Linked DNA regions of Macaca mulatta. The protein of the gene in region 4 binds, or shares a complex with, the protein of the main gene of each other region. Links are inferred from orthologs where the notes say so. Each region holds a gene or a part of one and is shown on either strand. Other genes may lie near its edges. The genes, in order: CRNKL1, CWC22, LSM6, SNRPD2, BUD13, SRRM2 and CWC15.

Evidence for each region.
Region 1: SNRPD2 (region 4) and CRNKL1 share a complex: the UniProt entries of both Homo sapiens proteins name them as parts of the minor spliceosome. The link is inferred for Macaca mulatta from reciprocal best matches to the Homo sapiens genes SNRPD2 and CRNKL1.
Region 2: SNRPD2 (region 4) and CWC22 share a complex: the UniProt entries of both Homo sapiens proteins name them as parts of the minor spliceosome. The link is inferred for Macaca mulatta from reciprocal best matches to the Homo sapiens genes SNRPD2 and CWC22.
Region 3: SNRPD2 (region 4) and LSM6 share a complex: the UniProt entries of both Homo sapiens proteins name them as parts of the U4/U6-U5 tri-snRNP complex. The link is inferred for Macaca mulatta from reciprocal best matches to the Homo sapiens genes SNRPD2 and LSM6.
Region 5: SNRPD2 (region 4) and BUD13 share a complex: the UniProt entries of both Homo sapiens proteins name them as parts of the minor spliceosome. The link is inferred for Macaca mulatta from reciprocal best matches to the Homo sapiens genes SNRPD2 and BUD13.
Region 6: SNRPD2 (region 4) and SRRM2 share a complex: the UniProt entries of both Homo sapiens proteins name them as parts of the minor spliceosome. The link is inferred for Macaca mulatta from reciprocal best matches to the Homo sapiens genes SNRPD2 and SRRM2.
Region 7: SNRPD2 (region 4) and CWC15 share a complex: the UniProt entries of both Homo sapiens proteins name them as parts of the minor spliceosome. The link is inferred for Macaca mulatta from reciprocal best matches to the Homo sapiens genes SNRPD2 and CWC15.

What each region holds. Positions count from the first base shown.
Region 1 is NC_133415.1:63,975,942-63,979,441, reverse strand, and holds part of CRNKL1 (crooked neck-like protein 1), read right to left. Parts: intron 3,177-3,500; coding exon 3,085-3,176; intron 2,260-3,084; coding exon 2,101-2,259; intron 1,696-2,100; coding exon 1,529-1,695; intron 1-1,528. UniProt on the Homo sapiens protein: Involved in pre-mRNA splicing process. As a component of the minor spliceosome, involved in the splicing of U12-type introns in pre-mRNAs.
Region 2 is NC_133417.1:84,904,553-84,908,052, forward strand, and holds part of CWC22 (pre-mRNA-splicing factor CWC22 homolog), read right to left. Parts: intron 1,551-3,500; coding exon 1,415-1,550; intron 1,324-1,414; coding exon 1,117-1,323; intron 1,031-1,116; coding exon 968-1,030; intron 1-967. UniProt on the Homo sapiens protein: Required for pre-mRNA splicing as component of the spliceosome. As a component of the minor spliceosome, involved in the splicing of U12-type introns in pre-mRNAs. Promotes exon-junction complex (EJC) assembly.
Region 3 is NC_133410.1:154,723,737-154,727,938, reverse strand, and holds the start of LSM6 (U6 snRNA-associated Sm-like protein LSm6), read right to left. Parts: upstream 2,801-4,202; 5' UTR 2,741-2,800; intron 1,419-2,740; exon of another isoform or gene 1,315-1,418; intron 1-1,314. UniProt on the Homo sapiens protein: Plays a role in pre-mRNA splicing as component of the U4/U6-U5 tri-snRNP complex that is involved in spliceosome assembly, and as component of the precatalytic spliceosome (spliceosome B complex).
Region 4 is NC_133424.1:58,224,554-58,226,607, forward strand, and holds the end of SNRPD2 (small nuclear ribonucleoprotein Sm D2), read right to left. Parts: intron 1,753-2,054; exon of another isoform or gene 1,618-1,752; coding exon 1,438-1,617; intron 802-1,437; coding exon of another isoform or gene 776-801; coding exon 601-775; 3' UTR 501-600; downstream 1-500. UniProt on the Homo sapiens protein: Plays a role in pre-mRNA splicing as a core component of the spliceosomal U1, U2, U4 and U5 small nuclear ribonucleoproteins (snRNPs), the building blocks of the spliceosome.
Region 5 is NC_133419.1:117,445,731-117,449,975, reverse strand, and holds the start of BUD13 (BUD13 homolog), read left to right. Parts: upstream 1-1,445; 5' UTR 1,446-1,466; coding exon 1,467-1,609; intron 1,610-4,245. UniProt on the Homo sapiens protein: Involved in pre-mRNA splicing as component of the activated spliceosome. As a component of the minor spliceosome, involved in the splicing of U12-type introns in pre-mRNAs.
Region 6 is NC_133425.1:4,063,404-4,067,703, forward strand, and holds the start of SRRM2 (serine/arginine repetitive matrix protein 2), read right to left. Parts: upstream 2,801-4,300; coding exon 2,664-2,800; intron 1-2,663. Other genes in the region: uncharacterized protein LOC144338337, read left to right, coding at 2,799-3,374. UniProt on the Homo sapiens protein: Required for pre-mRNA splicing as component of the spliceosome. As a component of the minor spliceosome, involved in the splicing of U12-type introns in pre-mRNAs.
Region 7 is NC_133419.1:95,762,736-95,766,927, reverse strand, and holds the start of CWC15 (spliceosome-associated protein CWC15 homolog), read left to right. Parts: upstream 1-1,392; 5' UTR 1,393-1,485; exon of another isoform or gene 1,486-1,504; intron 1,505-2,811; 5' UTR 2,812-2,819; coding exon 2,820-2,950; intron 2,951-3,836; coding exon 3,837-3,949; intron 3,950-4,192. UniProt on the Homo sapiens protein: Involved in pre-mRNA splicing as component of the spliceosome. Component of the PRP19-CDC5L complex that forms an integral part of the spliceosome and is required for activating pre-mRNA splicing.

The DNA.
Region 1 (3,500 bases), on a different chromosome or scaffold from region 4:
CTCAGCTCCCTCATCTGTAGGATGGAGAAGTTCCTACACTGCAAGGTTGTTATGAGGATTAAACCACAATATTTGTAAAGTACTTAGAATAATGCCTGGCACATAGCAAGTACTATAAAAGCTTTTGTCAAACTAATAATATTAAAATTACTAGACATAATTAAGATCTTAACACTGTCACCTAAAGAGAGAAGAGTAAAAAAATAAAAAGATCTTAATACTGCATTGTAAAGTTGATTCTCATTATTTGTGGTAGTTATGTTCTATGTAGTCACTGCAAACACTTAATTATTGAGTATTGAACCACTGTGCCTAGGGGAAACATGTATATATACAATCTCACATTCATGATCATCTTAAATCCTAAAAAGAACTCATCCTAGCAGATTCTATCTTCATTATTTTGTAAGAAAAGTGATTCAGAAATGTTAAGCGATTGGACTGAGGCTGCCCCACTGACAGATTCAAACTCCCCAACTGGCCCCAGGGCCGGAGCTCCTTGCACTACATGGCACTGGCCCTTCCTGTCTCCAAGCTCTGGGCATGGTTATACGAGGTTAAGACCAGAAGGCAGAGCCTCGCCTTGCTGGACTTCATGCTGTGTGCATGTCCACAAATGACTGTGAAAGTGCCACAATTACTGATTTTTGGGGTTACAAATAAATTTTAGCAAATATGTGATTTTGCAAATATGGAATCTGTGAATAATGAGGAATGACTGTACTTCAGTTTCAAAAGTGCTTTCATGTGTATCATTTAATCTTCACAACAGCCCAACAAAGGTGTTTTTATTCTTGTTTTTAAGAAGAGGACACGAAGACTCAAAGGAGTTAAATGACTCACTGGAGCCACACAGCCAATAAACAGTAAACCTTTGATGAACTCCAGTAACGGTAGTAATGACCAACACCAACCTTAGAAAAACAGGACTGGCAAGGGCAGCCAGAACCTTAGTACAGTTAGTCCTCCAGCCATGGGTTCCATATCTGTAGATTCAACCAACCCGAGATAAAGTATTCATGAGAAAAAAGTGCTTCTATACTGAACATGTAGTTTTTTTGGTTATTATACCTTAAAATACACAGAATAACAATTATTTACATAACATTCACATTACATTAGGTATAAGTAATCTAGAGATTATTTCAATTATATGGGGGGCTATGCATACGTTACATGCAAATACTACATCATTTTATATCAGGGACTTAAGCATCACCGATTTTGGCATCTCCTTGATGTCCTGGAAACAATCTCCCAGGAATATCATTTTCCATGAGGAAACATTAGTTTTCAGCACTACAATAAAATAAACCCAAACTCTCACTAGAAAAGACTAATTACCCAGATCACAAATTTTCATTCTGACCAATCTCTTTCCCTACAAAACATAGGGAAGCTGATAAACTGGCATTCTTGACTTCTAGTCTGATGTCAATGACTGTGTGTCCTGACCATGAGACACCTCTACAGGAGCAGCAGCACCCAGGACAATCATGGCACCACTCAGTTCTCGTCCAAAGGATATATCGCTCATAAATGGTGCGGGCCCGATCCACCTCTTTGTATCTCAGTTCAAAGTTGATGTAGGAGTGCCAGGCTTGCTCCTCAGGCTGCCACTCCATCCAGCGCTCAAACACCTGCCGGGCACCGGCAATGTTTCCCAACATTTCCTCCATGTATGTGTACTTGTACCTTTAACAAAATCACCCGAAAATATCTGCTGTGGTTTAGTTCTCCCATTGTTGAATGGGAGGAAGATTTAAGATTTTATCTTTCTTAAAGGTTAAATCGAACATGTTTTGTTATTGAAATATAAATCTGAAAAAGGGTGAACCATTGGAAAAAAAGATTTTTTATTAAAAGTTGCCTAGTTCAACAAGAAGCTTATGAACAAAAGATTGCAACCAAAATTTTAGTTTTGATTACATAGCTGTAGAACATCACAATTATGACTTAACAGACTATGGGACATTAAAAAGCATTTATGTTTAAAGAAAAAGTAGGATGTAAAATTAAACTATCATCATGTAAATAAAATAAATACAGAAAATGTGGAACTTTTCTAGGCTACAAAAGGCTGTTTTATCAGAAACTTACCAGAACTGATTGACTCGAGGCAGCGTTGTTATGGCCCGGTCCCAGATATTTCGAGCATGGTTGACTTGGCGATTCTTCATCTCCATTTCTGCATATTTCAGCCAGAGTGTAATATTTCGATAGTCTACATCTAAAGCACGCTCGTATATGGATCGAGCCCTTAAGAAGCAAGATTTGCAGGGCATCAAAAGTAGTGCACACAACACATGCAGCGGTTATTTCACACTATCTGGAATGCCCTGATGTTTTATTAGGTGTCTACCACGAGCCAGGTTCTGGGCATAAGATGATGAAAAGATATAATGCTCTCAAGTACCTTACAAAGTCTTATAGAAAGACATGCATGCAATTATAATGCAATGTGATTTATGTTATAGTCAAGATCTGCACAGGAAGCAGAGAGGAAGAAATGAAAATGTCTGGTGGAAAAGGCTAAGTAGTAGGTAACTCTAGAAACAAGAACTCGAGGCAAGTTCCAATTTACCAGGAAACTAAGGTTGGTGTGGAGGGGGTGCTCATTCCAGGCGAGGAGAACAGCCAAGCCTCACAATAAGGAGACATGATATATTCAGGGAGTGGCACGTACACAGGCGCAGCGGGGGAAGGAGGTATGAGGGGAGAATGCAGAAAGCGAGACAACAGGAAGGGCCAGATTGCAATTTTTATTTTTTTGGCCATTGGTTTTCAGCTAAACATTAAAAAAAAAAAAAATCTCAATATATAGAAAGCAGATGAAATTGTGCTACTTTAGCTACAGCTGACAAGATCAATCTGTAAAGTGTCTCCCGCCCCGCCCTCCGGGACTATTCTACCCCAGTGCTCCTGAGGCCCTCAAGGGAACCCTAGGGTTTCATGGAACCATAGTTGACAATTTCTACCCGAGGCACAATCTTTTATCTGTGCTTTAACTTTTTCTTCTTTTCTTTTTGGTATCTGTTAACCTATGAATCATTATACACAAAACTACACTTTCAGCAATTTTACCTCTGAATCTCCTTTAGGCTTTCTTCCCATTGTGCGTATTTTATCCAGTTACTAATTACAGTCCTGTTTTTTCTTATGTTATCTTCAAAAGTCTGGAAGAAGGCAAAAAGGGTCAAGTCAAAGGGCAAATGACTAAAAATGACAGCACCCTTGGTCTATTTTAAGTCTTGTACTAAACTGGTTATTCATTTCGTTCATATTTAAGAGAAATTACATCCTGGAATCCTTGAGGAATAAGAAATCCACTACAGAAGGTTACAATCAACTAACTGATACTTTAAAATAGTCTATGCTTGTCCCTAATAAAAAATATTTTGACTATTACCCGTAAGTCCTCTGGTAACGTTCAGAATTTCATATATAACAGAATTCATGCTTTAAAACAGTCCCACATTCTAGAGTGAAGAGGTCAAATC
Region 2 (3,500 bases), on a different chromosome or scaffold from region 4:
GCTGGTCTTTATGTTAAAAGCAAACAAATGACAAAAACTAAAATTATATTTTGCCCAATGGTGCTCTGTTAGCCTGATAAAAGATTTTACAAACCTAACCGACTCTACATTTCTATTATAATCAGAGAGGTTTTAATACAAACTTTTGGGGTTTAATACAAAGGTAAATATTTATTGCTTCCACAGCAATAAATACTTCTCCAGTAAAATTACAACTCAAGAGAAATAAGCCCATGAAATTATTATGTAAATAGGCCTGAGTGTTAGCTTTAGGAGGAAAATAATACAAATGTGAAAATAGTAACAGTAATAATAGCTATCATTGTCTGTGATAATACACAACACTGTATTTTATATATCCTTCCATAGAAAGGTAACATTTAGTCTTCCATCAAACAAGTAACTTGCTACAGGTCACTCAGCTAGTAATGTCAAAGACAAATTACAAATCAAAACCTGTCCAAAGTTAGTGCTTACAGTATACCAATGATATACAAATGAAAATGATCAATTTATTTTATCAGAGAGGCACCAATACTATAATTCATCTTCCCAGAAGGATATCAACCTGACCTCAAGAAACAATAAAGTATAGCACTTTACAATAAAGTATACCACTTAATTGAATATTAAACTGGGTGGCACAGACTGTAAGTGGTAGAGAAGCTAAATAAAGGCTACTACTAATCTATGAATATTTCTTAAGATGGGTGAGATGTAAGGGTTGCATAGTTTAAAGGGAAAGAGGAAAGGAACAATGGGGTCAGTAATTCAGAATGAAGTAAAAAATCATGGGCAAGTACCAGGAAAAAAATAATGCCCAAGGAAATAGCTAAGAGAATAACTTTATAAGAGCAGAGATTTCATTAGGCAAGTATCAACGATCTCTAAATATTTCCTATCAGTATTACATAACTACTTAAATTGCTTCTACTTATCCAAATTAATTTTATAAAATTTTACATACCTTTCTTAATAGCTTTGTACTTCTCTTCATTCTCCATAAAATTAGGATCCATCTTGAAAACATCTAAAAAAAATTTTAAAGTTAATGTTTATTTTCTATATTTACATTTGTTGGTATACCTCTTTCCACCTAACATGCCCCAGACTTACTAAGAACATCTTCTGGGTTATAGTCATCCTCCAGAGGGAGCATATGAGTGAATTGATCATCTTCTTCCACCAAATCAAGACCTTCTAGGATAATGGGGTGGTCCTTGAATCCATCTTTCCGTACAGCAAACATCACTTCAATCATATATTGAACTCTTTTGTCAATTTCAGACTCATGAAGAATGTTTCGAAGGCGTTCAAATATAGCTAAAGGTTAACAGAAAGAAAAGACAATAAAATAAGCAATAAATATTACAATAAACAAAAACTTAACATCAAATTAAAAATGTACACTTACCATTGATTCCTCTTGGTGACACTTGTGTTAATTTGAGGCCACATTCCTTAAGAAAACCAATAGCTACTTCAACACTATCATCTGTTGGTCTTTCCAGGAGTAAAGTGAGCATCTCTAAGCATAAAACTTCATGTGCCTTAAATAGAATACATATAGATGGAAGAAAGAAAATGCTTTTACATACATTAAAATATTTTTATGATTTCTAAAAATTAGTAAATCTGTTACAATAAATATATTGCACATATGATGGGCAAAGTTTTATGAAGTACATGGAAATACTCCAAATACGGGATACAATTTTTCTATCACTTTTATTATCTATCTACTAAGAATTTTCAGATGACTGTTCCAAAAATTTTAATTTTCTATGCTGAATACAACTATCTGAATTATCTTTAGAAGAAATATTCTTAGCCATTATGTACGGAAAGTGTCATAGATAAAATATGTTAAAAATCATATACTACTTTCTAATAAGATAATTGTTTTCATAATTACTACATGAGAAATAGTAATATGATTTATAGTACCCTTCTTCATGACCATAATTCTTTATATACATTTCCCAATTCATTCTATCAGCAACTCTATTAGACGCAAATAGTCCTTAAGTTACACGAATACTAATTTCATCACAAAATATCTTAATAACTTCTGGAACAAAACAGTTTTGAATATTCCATCTTTTTAAAAAAAAATTATATCAAACTATTTCTACTGGCCATGTTCAAAAACTGACATTTATAAACAACACCAGGAAGAGAGGGAACAAAATTCTACTGAGAAGCTTTGCTATGAGAAGAAAACGAACTACAAAGAATGTTTAAACCACCACACATACACCTTTCTAAAGCCAGACAATGATTTGAGATGGTGAGGAAATAAGTCTAAATCTCAACTCAGGAGATACCTTCTTCCAGTTGTGCACAACATCAAAGACACCCGCTACTTCTTTTTACTAGGGGAGGAGGGGTGTCAAACAGTCTTCTATCAGTGACAAGAAAATACTGCCCTTTACCACAGTTGAGAAGATGCAAAACATTTATCATATCAAGTGTTTTATGGCAATGCCAACAATCTCTAGCCTAAGTGTAATACACATTTAAAAATGGAAATATATCTCTGTGGTTACAGATATGAAATTAAGTTTCCTTGGTCTTAAGTAGCAAGTTATCACCGTAATAATATGACTAATTAGGTCAAAATCTAAAAGATTTCTAAGAGTGAAAGAATCTTCATATAAATAAGAGTCAAAACATTTAGTATTAGTGAAATAAGACTAGGCAGGATTTTAAAATTCTTCCTGTTGTACATGATATTAAACTGGAAATGATAATATATATCTGAAGGAAACTTTTGAGTATGAGCAAGAACAATTTTACCACTTTCATGGTTAAACAGAAGCTAAATCAAAACCATCAAATAATGAATATAAAATAAACACAAACTGAATAATAGCATGATAAAATTACTTGCATTTGAAACAGATTAAAATTGATCAACTCTATTCTACAAAGTGATTCTAAACATATATGACTATACCTATGTGGTGGCAAGGAATAGAGGTTTTTGTAAAATAGCAGGTATTTATTAGATTCTCATGAACACCAGGGAATGAAGTGGAGGAGACACCAACTTTATTGTTTTATAAAAGTGAACAGAATGGTTCTTCAAAGGAATGGTTTGCAGTCAAGTAACCATGTATAGTATTAAGTCAGATTAATCTGATAAAATATCTAAAAGTGTTTTGATTAGCATCAAAGTGTTATGTTACAGAATATTAAATACGACCAGGCGCGGAGGCTCACGCCTGTAATCCCAGCACTTTGGGAGGCCAAGGTGGGCGGATCATGAAGTCAGGAAATCCAGACCATTCTGGCTAACACGGTGAAACCCCATCTCTATTAAAAATACAAAAAAAAAAACTAGCCCGGCGTGGTGGCGGGCAACTGTGGTCCTAGCTACTCAGGAGGCTGAGGCAGGAGAATGGCGTGAACCCGGGAGGCGGAACTTGCAGTGAACCAAGATTGTGCCACTGCACTCCAGCCTGGGTGACAGAGCAAGACTCTGTCTCAAAAAAAGA
Region 3 (4,202 bases), on a different chromosome or scaffold from region 4:
AAGCAAAAACTTGCAAGGAAACATTACAATCCAAGTAACTGCAGCACTAGACTAACAGATCAGTGTCTGAGGAGGCGATCAGACACGGAGAAGAACAGCTCTCCAAGTCCTCCCTTCTGACACAGTGGAGTGCCTCGCTGTCTTGTGAAGGCTTCATACCAATCCCTCCTTCCTGAGCAGCAGGCGCTACTTCTCTCCCTCTCTCCCAAAGGCGAAGTGAGTCCACTCAGAGCACCTCTTTCCACTCTCGGTCATGGTCCTTATCAGGCTGCTTTGTAATTTTTCCATTTGCTGACAGGTCTCCCATGGTGAGTTTTAAGCTCCTTGGGGACAGGGGAAATATCCTACTCACTTGGTATCCCTGGTACCTAAGCACACTGCCCAAGTCTGTGGAAGAGACATTCAAGGCCAGTGCCAAGCAAAATCCCTGTCCAGCCCCCACCAACCCAAACTATGGATACAGTGACTAGTAGGATCATGCACGTACTTCAACAAATACTAACCAAGTAATCTCTATTAGGACCACCAAAGACGGAGAAAACAACCCTTTCTGTCATTCAAGAACCAGCTGTTTCCAAATCTAGAGATGCTTGTTAAAATGCAGATTCCTGAAGTCTACTCAGGTAAAAGCACTGTATTTTACATTTTATGAAGTTCTCCAGATAATTTATTTAAGCAAATGGTTCTCAACTAGGGGCAGTTTCCCCAACCCCACCCCACCCTGCTCAGGGACATTTGGAAGTATCTGGGGACACTGAACTGTCAAGACTGAGGAAGGTGGTGCTACTGCTATACTAGTGGGTAGAGACCAGGGATGTTGCTAAACATTTTACAACAGGACCGCCCTCCACAACAAAGGACTGTCCAGCCCAAAATGTCAATGGAAGCTGAGAATCTCCGCTATAAGCCCTAAAAAAAAAAACCACCAACAACATTGTTCTTTGGTTTTAAAGTGAGGAGTTTTAAAGAAATCTCCAAAGTACAGCAAATGATAACCAAAAGCTACATTCTAACCAAATGATGGAGTGTAGATTATAATTAATCAGGGATGTTTTATTCTAACATAAAGGGAACCTGAAAACAACTGTCAAAATCTTGAAGGGGTTGCCATTCTAAATAATGGATTTCTAGTCTTAGCCATGAAAATAATCACTTTCCAATTTCTCAGTGTTACAGGTCCCTCCGATCATTAATCTGTTAGTACACTTTTAAAAGGAGAGAATAATCCAGGTGATGTAAACAAATTTTTAAATTCTAATATCTACTATGCCACAGTTCAGTGAGAGACTGCCTGATGCAGCACAGGGTACTCACTTGGGAGGCAGGAAACCTGAGTTCTAATCCCAGCTCTGCTACTTAATTAGCTGTGTGACTTGGATAACTCATCATTTCACTTCTCATGGCCCCAGGTTCCTCATCTGCAAAATAAGGGAGTTATGCCAGATGACCACTTAAGTCTCTTCCTGCCCTAACATTCAGGTAGTAACGCATTAACTCCAGTGACACACACACACACACACACACACCCACAAACATAAGCCTCTCAAGATTTCTGTACAATATTCAAGCAAGTAAAATTGCCAAACACCTGAAAAACTTTTTTGGAAAACACTGCAGCAATGTGTACGAAGGCCTAAAAAAGGCCTTACAGATGAAAGCATCTAATCTGATAATTTCACTTCTGAGAATCTAGTCCAAGGAAATAATCTAAAAAATAGGGGGGAAAAGGTTTATCAAAGTATTATCTGGGGTGCTAAGAGATTCAAAAATTCAAAAACAATCTATAATATCCCACAATCGGGAAATGACTGAATAATTTATGGGACCTACATTGCGATCCACAATGAGGGACAGTCAATCAAAAGAAGATACAAAACTAGAATAATATTTAGGAAGAGTTTTTAAATGGAAGTGGTAAACTATACTGTTAAGTGATTAAACATGTACACTCCTAGCTCAAGTAGAAGCTAGCATACACAGGAGAAAAAGATTGTAGGTGAAAGGGTTGTGAATACTATTTCTTCACTAAAGTCTTCCATGTTTGCAATTTTCTACAATAGTCACATATTACTAAGAGCAGTGGGGTAGGGTAATCCGCTTCATCCTAATGCTACACATCTTAAAAACGCCTGCTATGCACGCGCGCGGACACGCGAACGCACAGAAAACCTCGGGCAATAGGACTTAAGACCATACAATTGGGTTCCTAGGCCTGACAACTCAGTAAGACAGGCGAGTCGAGTCCTTAATTCCTGTGGTCAGGCGCAGCCACCCCGATGTAGGGAAGGGTTAGCAATTCCCTGAAGCCCTGGAAGACTGGCGAAGCCTAGGCCTGGGTTCGGGATCCGCTTTCCCGCCGAATCCTGGGATTAGCCTCGGGGCTCCCTGGGGAACTTCAACAACCTCAACTGGTCTCGGACGCCAACTCGGTGGGAGCCGGGACGGTGCCGCTACTCTCTGCGCAGTCTAAGCACCTCGCTGAGGGCGGTCCCGGCGCCCACTATCAGACCTCTCCGGCCATTCCGTGAGCGGAGAGCTTGGACGCGGCATTTCGCGGAAAGCTGCCACTCAGCGGCCCCTTCCCGGAGCCCCAGCCCGTTCCCCTCAGGCCCTTTCCGGGGCTGCCTCGCCCGGCCTAGGGCCGCTGCAGCCGCCGCTCCACAGCGCGACTGAACACTGGGGCGTCGAACCCGGGGCTACGCCCGGCCCCGTCATCGGCCCGCGCAGCCGTGCGGCTCACCTCGCGGGCGGGATCCAGAACCCTCACTCCAGGCGCCCCACGAGTCCGGCCTCCGCGGATGATCGCAGCCAAAAGCGAAACCGCCGAGGCAGCGGCACTTTTCTGCCTCGGCCAATCACTGCTCTTCTCTGCTACGGCAGCCCGCTGGGGCCGAAAAGCCTGTCAGCGCCGAAGCGCGCAAATCCGAGAATCCTGTTTTGTCTAGTAGCAAAATTGGTGCACTGGAGTTCCTCTGACAGAAATCTGAATACAAAACAAATATAATATAAAACAAAAACAAAAATCCAGGAAACTAGAAGTGATCTTTTGTCCAGGATTTATTTGCAGAAGTGTAAAAAATAACTTGAAGTCATAGGAAACTGGAATTTACTGTTTAAGTAACGGCACTGTGTACCCAGAAACGTCCTTGAATAGTTTAAAGCAAATAAATAAATAAAACACCTCAAGTCTTTAAATCTACCTCTGGATATTTATTAAATGTGTGAAGACTTAAGCCATTTTAGCAAGAGACTGTTTCCATGGCAATGTTGATTAAAAAATAATTAAAATCACTCAAGTAACTCCGAATTATAATGACATTAATTGTGTTACATTAAAAACTTGTTCCAATTGGAAATGGTGTGCAGACATTATTTAAGTGCTACTATGGGAACTTGGTTTGGAATTTTGCATGAATTCTCAACACTCTTTCTATTAATGGGATTGGAAGGGGGAAAAAAGAGAACTGTTACCCCAAGACTTGATTCCTTTACTCTCATCAGCTGAAAACTTACTTTAATTTTATTTATGGTTTGTAACGCTACACACAAAGCAATAAGATCTTCCAACACAGATCCTTAACCCCATTAGGTGTTATAAAATCTAAGATGCAGAATTTTTTTCTGAGATAAAGAATTCCTCCCTTGTAACCTTCTTTTGGCTAAAGGCAGAAGAAATGAACTTTTGATTGATATCAGGGACAGAAAACAAGTGGATGTGATTTGGTAAAGAATAGAGACTTCCTTATATCCTTCTATAAAAGCTCAGTTTGGGTAAAGACCAAACAGTTACTGATTTATTGAGAGGACTGTATTTGAAGTTCTTGCAATATAAAATATAATATAAATAAAAATTTTAAGAAAAGTACTGTTTAAATCAAATAATTACTTGCAAAGTACAAACATAACAGGATAAAAAGGCCTGTTCCTAAAAACTTTCTTTGCAAGACATCAAATTGCACATTCCTTACTGGTTGTTTAAATTATTAAAAAAAAAATAAAATAAAATTTTGATTCAAACTTCTTTCCCTTTCCTACAGAGCCCTAATTGAGCTGTTAACACTAGCGTGGTGGGTAGGGAGCCATGAGGAGTTTTAAGGGCCTAGTTCATCTGCAGAGCAGCTGCAGCCTTCTCCAAGGGCAGTAGCTGGGTAAGGGCCCAGTTTGACACACGGGGTGGGCATCCTGAATTATTTCATGAGCTA
Region 4 (2,054 bases):
TCCACCCGCCTTGGCCTCCCAAAGTGCTGGGATTACAGGCGTGAGCCACTGCGCCTGGCCAATCTTTGTATTTTTAGTAGAGACAGCATTTCACCATGTTGGCCAGGCTGGTCTTGAATTCCCGATGTCAGGTGATTTGCCCGCCTCAGCCTCCCAAACTACTGGGATTACAGGCGTGAGCCACCATGCCTGGCCCCAAAAGATATTTTGGTCAAGCGAGGCCAATTCATTTTAAGAGGCAGAGAAGAGAGCAACAGAGTGACAAGGCGAAGCTCAGAAAGATTAAAGCAGGAGAACTAAAATATTCTCCAGTGCCACAACTGGGTGCTCATTTCCATCCAACCTGTTTGCTTTGCGGAGGGGGAAAGTGAGGCCTCGATGGGGCAGAGCCAGGGCCTCTCCACTTGCTCACGGGTCCTGGTCCCAGCATTCAATTTGATATTAGCTGCCTCCCCCAAGCCCTCCTGAATCCACCCCACTCACAAGGCTCTGGGAACACATACCACTAGAAAAAAACCACAGAGCTTTATTATTCTCAACACCAATGGCAATGGTCTTCATAGGACGAGAGAGTGAGTTCTGTCGATGGATAGGCAGCCCCTACTTGCCGGCGATGAGCGGGTTCCGCAGGACCACGATGACCGAGTCCCCACGCAGGAACATCTTGGAGATGTAGCGGTCTTTGTTGACTGGCTTGGATTTCTTCTTGCCCTTGCCGCTCTTAGGGACCTCAGTCCACATCTCCTTCACGTTCTCCAGCACCATGTTGCAGTGCCTGGTGGGGAACAGGGAGGGGAGGCACTGGGTGTGAGGGGGGTGCCTCTGACAGCGCTGCCTGCTGCTCGCCCCCTCCAGCAGCATGGCTTGGGGAAGGATGCAGGTGCTAGGCTGGATGACCAAGCTGCCAAGGCCAATTCTGCCAGTCCTTAGGTTGAGGCTGAGGCAAAGGACTGCACCTCTCTGTGCCAGTTTGTTCATCTTTAAGAGGGAAGACAATCACAGTACCTTCCTCACAAGGTCGTTGAATATTATCTTTTTTTTTCTTTTTTTTTTTTGAGACAGAGTGTCGCTCTGTTGCCCAGGCTGGAGTGCAGTGGTGCGATTTCAGCTCGCCGCAACCTCTGCCTCCTGGGTTCAGGCAATTCTCGTGCCTCGGCCTCCTGAGTAGCTGTGAATACAGGTGTGCACCACCACGCCCGGTTTTTATATTTTTAATAGAGATGCCGTTTCACCATGTTAGCCAGGCTAGTCTCGAACTCCTGACCTCAGGTGATCCACCCGCCTTGGCCTCCCAAAGTGCTGGAATTACAGGCATGAGCCACCACCCTGGGCCATACACCCCAGGCGTCTGAGAAACCTGTCTTTGAGCTCTTCAGACTGGAGCTAGGGCAGCCTCTCTAGGCCTGCACAGAACACCTCCCAGGACCCAGCACTCACCTATCGAAGGCCTTCACACGGCCCAGGAGTTTCTTATTGTTGCGACAGTTGATGAGCACTTGGGTGTTGTTCTTGACTGACTGAGTGAGCACAGAGAGTGGACCCGTGTTAAATTCCTCCTCCTCTCGCTTCTGCAGCTCCTCTGGGGTCATCTCACTCTTGGGCTTGTTGAGGAGGCTCCTGCATGGATAAACATGGAACCCACAAGTGAGAGAGGCTGGAGCTGTGAGGATGGGTGGTCAGGGCCTCAGCCTCAATGTCTCCCCAGCCTTGTCCCATCACATCCGTCCTGTTTGGCCTTCTGAGTATCACCAGCTGGATGCCTAACAGACATTTTCTTTTTCTTTTCTTTTTTTTTTTTTTTTGAGACAGAGTCTTGCTCTGTTGCCAGGCTAGAGTGCAGAGGCACGATCTCAGCTCACTGCAACCTCTGCCTCCTGGGTTCAAGCGATTCTCCTGCCTCAGCCTCCTGAGTAGCTGGGACTACAGGCGCGCGCCACCTCCACGCCCAGCTAATTTTTGTATTTTTAGTAGACAGTGGGTTTCACCACGTTGGCCAGGATGGTCTTGATTTCCTGACCTCGTGATCCACCCGCCTCGACCTCCCGAAGTGCTGA
Region 5 (4,245 bases), on a different chromosome or scaffold from region 4:
GGAATGAATGTACAACATACTGACTATAGCTAATAATTCTGTATTGTTTACTTGAAGCTTGCTAAGACAAATTTAAGTGCCCCCCACCAAACTAGTACATAAATAAGTCTAGTGAAGGATGTTTTAATTAATTTGATTTTGGTAATCATTACACAATGTATAATTATATCCAATCATCACATTGTACACCTTGAATATATATAATTTTTGTCAAATAACCTTAATAAAGCTGGGAAGAAAACGATAAAAAAGTGACAATCTAACATATGATAAGGTAAAAAGATATTTCAAGAAATTTGGATGACCTCTTGCACCCCACTTTGCTAGCCTCTACTCCCAAGAGTCATGTTCTGGCTATGTGAAGTTGAGCAACTTCTTAAATCTTGCCAAGCTTCAGTTCTTATCTGTAAAATGTGATATTGAAACGATTTGAGAATTGTGAGGGTTAAATGAGATAATTCAGGTAAAGCTCTAAAACCCCTGCCAAGAATAAAGTCTTTTCTTCCCCCCCAAAACTTGAGTATTAGAATTCATTCTCTCTGGTTTCTCTCTTTTGCTATGCTAAAAATAGATCCAGGTCCTTTTCATTGTCAAGATGTTAGTTTCCTTCAAAAGATAACTGCGAGCTACTTGTAATATAACACCAGAAGAGTTATACAGGTCTTAGAAACTACGTTTTTCATAGTAATTATGTTGGTTTGCACTTCCTGGCTTCCCTTCTCAGACGGTAGGTACCTGGAAGCCTAGTGGAGCAGATTCTCCCCACTTGAAGATACTTATAAAAATAACGAACATAGTTCCGATGACCATACGCCCACCATATGCCCAACACTGCTCTGCGCACTTCACACAGTAGTGTTATCTCAGCCTGTGACCATTCCGAGTTAGGTGCCGGGATTCTCCCCGCTTTGTGATAACTTGCCCGAGGTAGTACAGCTAGCCAGCTATGGAACCAGCGCCTGTAGTCCCAGCTACTCGGGAGGCTGAGGCAGGAGAGTGGCGAGAACCCGGGAGGCGGAGCTTGCAGTGAGCTGAGATCCGGCCACTGCACTTCAGCCTGGGCGGCAGAGCGAGACTCCGTCTCAAAAAAAAAAAAAAAAAAAAAAACAAACTCGGCTACGTTGCAGCCTGTGGCCCTCCACTTTCTTGCCCGTGCTTTGCAGTTTAGGTAACCTCTGGGGGCGGGGTCTTTTGGGTCAGGTTGTGGCCTCACAGAACAGCGCTTGCTGCGGTTGGATGGATGGGTGGGTGGGTGGATGAAGAGAAGAAACCTGGTGGCGTCGTCCCAGGGCTGTGGAGCGCCCCGAAGGTGAGCGCATCCCCCGCGAGGGCACCTGCCAGCCGCGCAGTTCTCAGCACTCTCCGCCACTTCCGGCCCTGGCCCCGCCCCCTCGGGTGGCTGGCGTCCGTTACGCGTTGAGGAATTTTGTCCCCAGCGCCGACCCGTCTCTGCCCTCGCCGCTGCCATGGCGGCAGCTCCGCCGCTTTCCAAGGCCGAGTATCTGAAGCGTTACTTGTCCGGGGCAGATGCCGGCGTCGACCGGGGGTCTGAGTCCGGTCGCAAGCGTCGCAAAAAGCGGCCGAAGCCTGGCGGGGCCGGCGGCAAGGGGTGAGTTGGTACCGGCCGGGGCGGGGCCTGCAACGACTCGCCACCCCTCACCCTTCCCAACTCCGCCCTCGGTCGCCTGGTGACTCCTTCCCTCTTGGCGGGTCTCCCGGCTTCTCCGCCGACCCCTGCTCATGCCCAGGGCCCCACTCACATCGCTTGAGGCCCCGCATTGCCTCTGCCGCCCCGCTTACACCTCGAGCCTCTGAGCAGTAGCGTCAGTGCGTTAGAGCCGGGCTGTAACTTTGATTACTCTTTTCCCGCCTTGGTAGACTTCCGTCCTCTCCCATGGAGAATGAATATTGCGCCCCGAGAATAATGGAGCGGATTCAAAGCCTCTGTGCTTGAATCTTTAGGGCCCGGTACCTGCCTGTGGGGATTCCCAAATCCCAAGGACTTGGTTCTGAATCAGAGACCTTGGATCACCTCCTGTTACTCTTAGTAATAGTCCTACTAACAAGAGAAGTTAACATTTACATAATTATACTTTTCTTGCCAGGCAACATTATAAGAAATTTAAACATAAGTTTGTTTAAGCCTTACAACAGTACCATGAACTGGGTATTATTTTCAAATGGGAAAACTTTGTGGCCCAATATAGTGGGCCCTACCAAATCGTTTTCCACCCAGAACCACAGAATGTGACATTTAGAAATAGGGTCTTTGGAGATGTAATCAGTTAAGATGAAGTCATACTTGATTAAGGTGGGTGCCAAATACAAAATGACTGTTTTCCTTTTAAAAAGAGGGAAGTATGGATACAGACACAGCAACAAAGGAAAAACGACCATGTCTAGATGAAGGCTGAGATTGGATTGGATTTATGTTGCCAAAAGCCAAGGTATGCCTGGGGCTACCAGAAGCTGGGAGAGGCAAGGAAAGATCCTTCCCTACCGACTTTGCAGGGAGGATGGCCTTGCAGACACCTGGATTTCAGATTGCTAGCTTCCAGAACTGTGAGAGTTTCTGTTGTTTTATGCCACGCAATTTTGTGGTACTTTGTTACAGTAACCCTAAGGCACTAAGATACCCAGTGAAGTCACATTGTTCTAAAGAACTAGTCCATGTTGTTTTCTGGTTTGGTGCTTGCCTTATTATTGTCCTCGTCTTTCTGCTTCGCTGACTTGTGTGGATCCTTTGGAGGCAGTGCCATGTGATGAAAGTAGCTTGAGTGTTGGAGCAGCACTGGTCAGAGTTCGAATCCTAGCTGTGCCACTTTATAGGCTGTGTACCCTTGGGCAAAGTGTTTCATCTCACTGAACTGCAGTTTCCTTATCTTTAAAATGGGAATAATACTGAATAATAATGCTTTTATGAAGTGGTGGTTGTGATTAGAGGGATTGCATTAAGTGACCCTGGCTTTTTGAATAACTTCACATCATGGCAGTCATGGTTATTATTGGGGCTCAACTATAGTTTATCCATGTAACAAGCATTTATTGAATACACTGTATTCCAGTTACTGAGGATGCCTCTGTGAACAAAAAGAAACATAGTCCCTGTTCTTGTGGAGCTTATAGTTTAGTGGGAATACAGGCTTTAAGCAACTAATTACACAACTAATTGGTGTATTTTCTTTATGATAAATGCAATGAAAGTATTCCAAGAGTTTTTAACAAGAGTTCTTAGTCTTTTTTTTTTTTTTTTTTTTTTGAGACAGAGTCTCACTCTGTCCCCCAGGCTGGAGTGCAGTGGCATGATCTCAGCTCACTGCAAGCTCCAACTACAGGGTTCACGCCATTCTCCTGCCTCAGCCTCCCAAGTAGCTGGGACTACAGGCACCCGCCACCACACCTGGCTAATTTTTTGTATTTTTAGTAGAGACAGGGTTTCACCATGTTAGCCAGGTTGGTCTCGATCTCCTGACCTCATGATCCACCTGCCTCAGCCTCCAAGTGTTGGGATTACAGGCGTGAGCCACTGGGCCCGGCCGGGTCCGTGGTCTTGAGTGAGTGTGAGATAGTGGGGGAATCCGGGAAGCAGTCAAGAAAAGTTTGCCAGACTGGGTGCGATGGCTCTCGCCTGTAATCCCAGCACTTTGGGAGGCCGAGGCGGGCGGATCATGAGGTCAGGAGATCAAGACCATCCTGGCTAACACAGTGAAACCCCATCTGTACTAAAAAAATACAAAAAATTAGCCGGGCATAGTGGCAGGCGCCTGTAGTCCCAGCTACTCGGGAGGCTGAGGCAGGAGAATGGCACGATCCCGGGAGGCGGAGCTTGCAGTGAGCTGAGATTGTGCCACTGCACTCCAACCTGGGCGACAGAGCAAGACTCCGTCTCAAAAAAAAAAAAAAAAAAAGTTTGCCAAAGGAAGTTAAATTTGTGTTAGGACCTGAAAAATGAGGAAGAGTTTCCTGGAATGAGGAAGAGTTTCCTAGCACTTTGGGAGGCCAAGGCGGGTGGATTGCTTGCATATAGGAGTTTGGGACCAGTCTGGGCAACATGGTTAAACCCTGTTTCTACAAAAAATTAAAAAAAAAAAAAGTCAGGCACAGTGGCACATGCCTGTAGTCTCAGCTACTTGGGAGACTGAGTGGAGAGAATAACTTAACCCCAGGAAGTCAAAGCTGCAGGGAGCCATGATGGTGCCCCTGCACTCCAGCCTGGGCAACAGTGTGAGACCCTGTCTCAAAAAA
Region 6 (4,300 bases), on a different chromosome or scaffold from region 4:
ACCTACGGATTTCAGACCACCCTATATGAATACGAAATAAACTACACAGTCCCTAGGTATCTGAACAGCAGACTACTTGGTTCAGAATGTGCAGCCTCACACCCCAACTAAAGGTCAGCACGCACATCAGAAACACACATGAACCTTGGATAATCTTCATACACTTCACCTCCCAGGTAAGGGCCATTTCCTTGATTCCAAATATTTAAAGATCCTATCAACCATCCTGATCTTTTATTCCTCCAATTCCTCCAATTTCTTTCCTCTCAATAGGATTTACTACAATTTGCAGTTCCTCCAAGTCTTGCCAGCTGTCAAATATTATCTGCTTTCAACTCTGCTCTATTTAAACACATCAAATCAGTCTCTGTTCCAACCGTTCCCATACCTTCTCCATATTCCTTGCTCTAAATCTATCTAGAAACCCTCTCTACACCCCACTTTCATTAATCTCCAACTGTTGGCCTTCCCCACCAATCCCCTGGATAGCACTTCCTAGTTTTTTTTCTCCCAGCCCTGCCGCTTCCTTCTTTCCTGTGTTAACCCCATGCCTCGTCCCAAGTTCTAGCCTTTCAACTAGTCCCAACCCTGATGTGACTCTGAAAAATTCTCAAGTCCCAGCTTTTCTAGTGAGATTCCTTGGCTACACATACTCTCTTTCTCATCCTCATCCTCTCCAAGATAGTTTCCTAGAACATACACGTATGAGGAAAAACTACCCAGAAAAAACCCTATGGAATAGACAAAGTGGAGAGAGTGATCAAAGACGTAAAAGAACTGGATAAAAGGGAAGGATGCATTTAGAAAATTCCAGAATGAAGAAGCATCATACAAATGTTTGGAAAAATATACTAGTGCATGCACGCACACAGAGTATATAGAAGGGTGCTAGCCCATACCTCCTCACCCTAGACTAAGGATGGGTCCCTACCCAATCCCAGTAGCAGACCCAATATCGAAAGTAGAAGGTGACAGAGGAAACTAAACCTGGAAAAGGCAAGCAAAAATCCAGGAAAAAATGAAAAACATTATGACTCAAAAAATCAATTTCTCTACACCCCCATCCTCATTTTCATCTTCTAGTTCCAATCCTCCCCACAGTTTAAAACTAGGTCCTTCTTTGCCTCTCCCTACCCCACCAAATTTCTGCTTCCCTTGCAGGCATGTCTTTGACCTGCAATTAATTCTTCAGCTCAACCATTCACCCACACTTCCATACCACCTCACACAAAAATCCTCCCACTCCCTAAGAAGGGAAAACCGAAGGGAAACCCAGGCCGAGTAAGGTGGCTCACGCCTGTAATGCCAGCACTTTGGGAGGCCGAGGTGGGCAGATTACCAAGTCAGGAGATTGACACTAGCCTGGCCAACATGGTGAAACCCAGTCTCTATTAAAAATACAAAAATTAGCTGGGGGGCGTCGCGTGCCTGTAATCCCAGCCACTCCGTAGGCTGAGGCAGAAGAATCGCTTGAACCCGGGAGGCGGAGGGTTGCAGTGAGCTGAGATCGCGCCACTGCACTCCAGACTGGCAACAGAGCTAGACTCCGTCTCAAAAAAAAAAAAAAGAAAGAAAAAAAAGGAAAACCAGTAGGTGCTAAGCAAAGGATATTAGGTCACAATGTTTCGGAGAACTTTTAGGGAATGAGCCACCCCTACCTCACAAAAAAAGACGACGACCCCACAGCATCTAAGGGGGTGCTAAGACACGGAAAGTAGGAACATCGACACCACACACAAATCACCAAACCAAACGATTTTATAAAACTCTTAAAGTGGGGGCCATAGACAGCGGATATGCAAAAGTTAACCAAGGTAAAAGCAGAAAATAAAAGGTACAAAGAAAGACAAAAAGACCCTTTTCTGTTGGGAAACTATCAGAGTGCCAAGCTAACAAGGAAGTAGAAAGATATCCTTAAATTCAACATTAAAATATGCAAAAAAGGAAACGGTACCAAAAGGGGACACAAGGGTTGTCCAAGAAAATGGACCTCAGGAAGCACAGCCAGCTCAGCACCGGGGCGCTCCAGCGCGGCTGAGTGGACACAAAGAACCCAGAAAGCTAAAATAGTAGCTTTAGAAGAGCCCTAAGCCCACGCACTTAGGATGAAAGGCAACAAAACATTCTGAAATTTTGATCCAGATTCGTCCTAACTGAAGGCGAGTGGAAACCAAGCTTCAGAAGAGCTGTGTGCCAAATAACGCCTGAAACCAACCAGAAAACTTATATACGAGTCTGGCGTTTTCTTCCCAACGAAGGTCTCCAGAAGCCTCCTTAGTTTTAACACGAATTCTCAGGAAATGTTAAAAAAGTGTAAGAAAAAAAGGAACAGTCTACCTTACAAATGTAAACTGAATGCCTTCACTTTCTTCACAATTTTTAAGATCTGGGGTTTCTCCCCGCCACTAACAACTCAAAGGCTTGATAGCACAGTCCAAACCATTTAAACCGGGCCCACGGAGTTCAAGGCCCTCCTCGCAGCGCCGGGGGCCTATTTTCGGCCTTGCGGAATGGGGGAGGGGGCTGCGCGGCGTCCCGCAGTCTGGGAGGCCCCTGGCACGGGCAGCCCAACGCTGAAGAGAAGCCCGAGAACAAGAGATCGAGAGCCTGGGGCAAGGGTCCGGGAGCACGTCCCCCGCCGCCGCCCCTTCCCCGCCACTTACGGGCCGAAAGCGGCAGCTGCGGGAAGGCCCCTCGGCCGCACGTGTGGTGGGGAGGAGTGAAGCCGAGGCGGCGCGCTCCCCCCTCGCCAAGGGCGCTCGCGAACCCCAGTACAGGCGGCTGCGAGCGCCGTTGTCATGGGGGAGGGACGGGGGGGTCGAAGCCCGCGCGCGACAGGAACGGCGGGAAGGGGGAAGGGAGGCGAAGGTGTCCGCGCCAGCGAAGGGCGGCGAGCGCGCGTGCGCGCGGAAGAGCTCGGCGGCCTGGGCCGTTCTCCGCGCGCTTTGGCCTCGCGCCGAGGCCGCCGCCCCTCCCCCACCCGGCTCGCTGGTTCCCTCACCCTCTCACCCGCCGCCTCCGCCCGCCGCCTCCGAGGGGGAGAGGTCTTGCCGCCGCCGCTGCGCGAGCTCCCGAGTCCCTCGGGGCCTGAGGCCGCCGCCTCGCCTCGCCGGTCCGCCCGCCTCAGCCGACGCCGACGCCTCCTGGCTTCCTCAGGGGCCGCAGCGGGCTCCGACTGCGCCACTCGCACCCCGCCTGGGCCGCGATGCACGTCAGCACGACTAACTCCGTGCGTCAGCACGCAAACGCGCGTCGCGGGGCTTGCCGGGAACTGGAGTGCGTCCCGCAGCCTTTTGCGCAGGCGCCGAAACCACAACGGGAAGTATCGTTTCTTCAGGCACAAGGCAGGTTTCACCCCGTTGCCAAAAGACTAAGCGTCCCGTTGGCCAGTGCAACGAAGAATGGAGGAATCGACCTAAGACGCCGCGTATTCGGAGGCCTTCCGCTGCAGGGAGGAGCCACAGGGCCTAGCGCCACCTAAGCGGGGCCCGAGCGCGTCTCGCCTCCCGCCGTCGAGGCAGAGCATTCTGGGAGTTGTGGTTCGTACGTGTCGCGGAGCCCGGATGTAATTTCGGCTCTGGGCGCGGCGGCCATTTTGTCTCCCCATGTTGGGAGTCGATAGCCTAGGCACAGTGGTGCTGCCGCTTTTGTGTAAGTGTGGGTTTCCCGAGCGAGCCCGCGGCTGCACAGCAGTCGGCCTTCTCGTACCCGAGAGAAGCCGCCTCAGACCCCAGCCAGCGGGCACCCCCGGAGCCCCCGAGCCTGGCTGCAGGCCCTAGACTTGTGCCAGGGGCCCAACCAGCTGCCTGTGGCATGGGCCACGCTCTCCCGATGTAGACTGGACTGAGGCCAGACGGCTGCCCCTGGGGTGGAGTTCGCTTCGCTTCCGGTAGGGCAGCCAGGCCAGGGTCCCCCCGGGACGTGATACCCGTGGAGCGGCACATGCAGGAACAAGTCAGGAGAAAAATAATAAGCACCTTAAAGTTTTCCACTTTTCGGTACCGTACTTCCTGTTAATGTTTCTAAACTCGTGATTCTGGACCTGATAATCAGCCCCCGTCCCTCACAGCAGAGTTGTAAGACGCTGGGCTGCTCGGGCACAAGGTCATATCTAGCCCCACCGCTGGCGAGCAGCCCAAGACGTGGGCTTAGCTGTCCTAACCAACTCAAGTGGCCTTGATCCGCAACAGGACGCGGTGCCACGTAATGAACTGTCCGTTTGAGTGCAAAGATTTATATTTGATACTACGATTTGGGCGTGATTTTAAGAGGCAGGGTCTTGCCCAGGCTGTTCTCGAAT
Region 7 (4,192 bases), on a different chromosome or scaffold from region 4:
CATTAAGAAATGTGATTTTTATCCTAACTGCAGTGAAATTTTACACAGGATAGTAACACCATTTGATTAATTTTAAAAGATCACTCTCTTGGCTATATGCAGCATTGACTGTAGGATAAAAGATGACGCAGGAAGATACAATAGGAAACAATTACAATCCAGGTAGGAGATGGTGTTGGCCAGGACAAGGGTAATGGCAGTAGAATAAAATTTCGGGTAAGTTTTAAAAGTAGAATTGGTAAGACCTGTAAATGAACCGTATGTGAAAAGTGAAAGAAAAGGAATTTAAGTAGGCACTCTGGGATTTTGGTTTGAGTAACTAGTATGATGATCGTGTCCTTTAGTGAGACGTGTAAGACTGGAGGAGGGATACCTTTAGTAAGAAAAATCAAGATTTTCATCTTGAACTCTATGAGTGAAAGGGCTTTTTCTGCTTTTCTTTCTTCATTTAAAAGTTGCAAAGAATTTAGAGGTAAGAAAGCATTTAAATATTCAACTTTGTGAGTTCTTTATATTTTAAACTAAGTTGGGGAAGTTGAATTTTCATTTGTTTAACAAATATTAATTGAGCAGCTACTATATGTCAAGGTCTATGTGATGAGATACTAAGATTAGCTAAACAATCAAGATCTCTGTTCTCAGGATTTTTTTTTATGGAAGGGAGGAGACAGGATTGGTGGGTTTTTGGTTTTTGGGTTTTCTCCTTTTCGTTCTTATTAAAACTTAACACTTAAGTAGCCATCTTAGTAATTACATCTTGTGCTCCTGGCAGTTGGGCCCACCGTTCTAAACGCTGTCGTAAATATTGACATCTCCCCTCCCACTAAAACTAACGTTTTTTAAATAAAAAATTTTAGCAAACATTACGAATACAACCTTTGCTTTGAAGTGTTAATATTTTTGCAGGAATGTACCTTTGTAAAGATCGTGGTTGCCCCGTACATATTTGTTCTTTCTTCATATCCAATTAAATGAAAACACTAGTTTTTCCGAAGCCCAACTCTCTAGGTTTGTTGGTTCTAGCTCAGGAGAAAGGATGGAAGCAGGAGTCGTTGGATTTAAACAGTTTGGTGTAATCCTTTTCCACGCTCTCTCCCGCTAGCCGGGGACGTGGTGTCGGCTACCCGGGGCTTTCCGTCCACGCAGTACCGGAATGAAGGAGTCTGGGAGGGGGTCGGGGACGGAAAAGACGGAAGAGACATTAAGTAATTGGTTCTTGAAGGTATAAAATGATATTTAGGGTCTACTCTAAGGCACTGATTTCAAACGCCCGCCCCCTGGGCCGTTTCGGCCCCGCCCCTTAGTGCCGTTACGCCGACTTCCACTTCGGCCACTGCGGATTGGTCGTTGCTTCCGCCTCCGAAGCGCTTGGATTTTGCTTCCGGGTCGTAGGCGCTAGCCCTGGGCGCAGAGGTTTCTGGGAGCCCGGAGTCGTAATGGCGTCTGTATGATCTTCGGAGATTGCTGCATCGGACCTCGGCCAGTGTGAGCGGCAGGAGGATAGGTTATCTTCCTCATCCCGGTGGGACGGGAAAGGGCAGTTGGGGTCGGAGTCGGCGGCAGAGTGCAGAGTGCGGGCGGTGGAGGACCTAGAGCAGCGGGCTAGGGGCGAAACGGAGTGCCTGTCAGGCGCGTCCGGAGCTCTCGGGCCGCAGAGGAGATCGCAGCATAAAAGGCAGCGCGCCTACCGCGTAAAGCGAACCCCAGGTCCTCCTTTCACTACCCCTCGCACCCCTGCGGCGCTGGGCACGGGTTAAGGGGCAACGAGTTTCTGGTTATAGCCAAAGACTAGCTCACGAGAGGCCGGAGTGATAATTCCGTTAGTGTGTGGGAAGGGGCGGACTCCCAGCTCCAGATAACCCCGTTTCTTCTTTGTATACATGTCTCTTACTCTTTTTGAAAATTAGGAGAAAGCACTCCCCCCCCCCAAAAAAATCCTCCCAGTTCGCCCACCCTCCCCACACACTTGCTTTTCCGACACTAACAGGGTTTTAATGACTGCATCTGCTAGGCAGTATTCTTGTGACTGCTCCAAGCAGAAAGTAACTTAAGGAATGGGTCCCTGATTTTTGTCATCAGAATCCTCTGGGGCTGAGGTTCCTGTTTTGTTTTTGTTTTTGTTTTTTTTGAACAGTCCTTAAGTTATAACCCACAAACGATCTGATTTATAATATGATGCCTGTTGTAGGAGAAAATTGGCTCAACAAAAGGTTAAGAATTTTTTTCTATGTACCTGTCATTGAAGTTTAACACACTTTCCTTAGTAACTTTTTTCTCAGACACTTAGTAACTTTGTCAGTGATATTTTTTGTTTGTTTTTAGCTTTTGTTTCTACTAGCCTATTTGCTATTGTGTGAAGTTTAGATAAAATGCAAACCTTAGAGAGTCTGGTAGAGTAAGGTTGAGTTGGAAATTTTTAAAACTTAGTCATGGTGGTACTGTATTTTTCAAGGCTTTTGACATGTCAAGTGTCATAATTCTTATAGTAATCCTATGAGGAATATCTCCATTCCACGGATGACAGAAAGTTAAGCCAGGTGACTTGCTCAAGCCCATATAGTCAGAAGGAGAATAGGGATGCAAACTCAGATCTTCATGACAGAATTTTTTGTACTAAGACAAGCCTGAGAAGCCCTATTCGTTGTATGGCCTAAGCCTCATAATTTGTTTTCCTGAAAACTTTTGTTTAAGAAGATTAAGCAGGTTTAGGGGAATGAGTTTTAGAATTTATTTCACTAGTATGGATATTAATACTCTGTAAAATGAGTGTTTGTATTGTTGTAAATAACTTGATTATATTTTTCTTCAAAGCATAAAAGATGACAACAGCAGCCAGGCCAACCTTTGAACCTGCAAGAGGTGGAAGGGGAAAAGGAGAAGGTGATTTGAGCCAACTTTCAAAGCAGTATTCAAGCAGAGACCTACCCTCTCACACAAAGATAAAATACAGGTAGTAAGACTTTCTTTTTTTTCTTTCTTTTTTTTTTTTGTTGAGACAGAGTCTCGCTTTGTCGCCCAGACTGGAGTGCAGTGGCCGGATCTCAGCCCACTGCAAGCTCCACCTCCTGGGTTCACGCCATTCTCCTGCCTCAGCCTCCCGAGTAGCTGGGACTACAGACGCCGGCCACCTGCCCCGGCTAGGTTTTTGTATTTTTTAGTAGAGACGGGGTTTCACCGTGTTAGCCAGGATGGTCTCGATCTCCTGACCTTGTGATCTGCCCATCTCGGCCTCCCAAAGTGCTGGGATTACAGGCTTGAGCCACCGCGCCCAGCCTCTTTTTTTTCTTGTTCACAAAACAAGACCAAATCTGTTAAATGGCATGGTCATGATATAGTAGTATGTTCGAGTTATGTCACTTATCTATTATCATAGGATTAGAATGCAATAGGATGTTTAACACTAAAATTCTGCCCTGTGGTTTTAAAATGCAAAATTCCTACTAACCAGAAATTTTCGTATGTAGATACAACAATAAATAACAGAAATAATAATGCCTCAGAGAGATTATGCACTATCAGCACCAGTCAATATATTAAAAGTATTACTGTTAAGTTCTGAGTTGATAATACCAATAAAAATTAAAGACATTTTAATCACGTAAAGCCTTATTATAGGAAAATGCGTGATTGAATTTGGACTTCTTGAAATATTGGGAACATCACAAGAGTGGCTGTTAGTAACTTTCAGATTAGATTATGATCTTATCTACTTCCCTTTTTTATGCTTGAAGGACAAAGTCTCATTCCTGAATTGTCTTCCATTACCACAGTCGTGTGTGTGTGTATGTGTGTGTGTGTTTAAGTACCATTTTTGCCCTGGTTTGTTTCTACTTTAGACAAACTACTCAGGATGCCCCTGAAGAGGTTCGTAACCGTGACTTCAGGAGAGAGTTGGAAGAAAGAGAGAGAGCTGCTGCAAGAGAGAAAAACAGAGATCGTCCAACCCGAGGTACCAACACTATCCAAGACATTTATCTCTAAAATTATGTTGTTGATAGTTTTTCTTTTATGTAGCAACTGGAAAATATTAACCATTTGTTTGCTTTTACAGATTGATGTGAGCTGTAATACTTTCTTAAGTCATTAGAGATAACAATAACAAATATTTACCAAAGGCTTATTTGCCCAGGCACTGTGGATGTGATTTCACTGTGGATAATGCTTTCAGTGTGGGCTCCTCGTGCCCACAGGT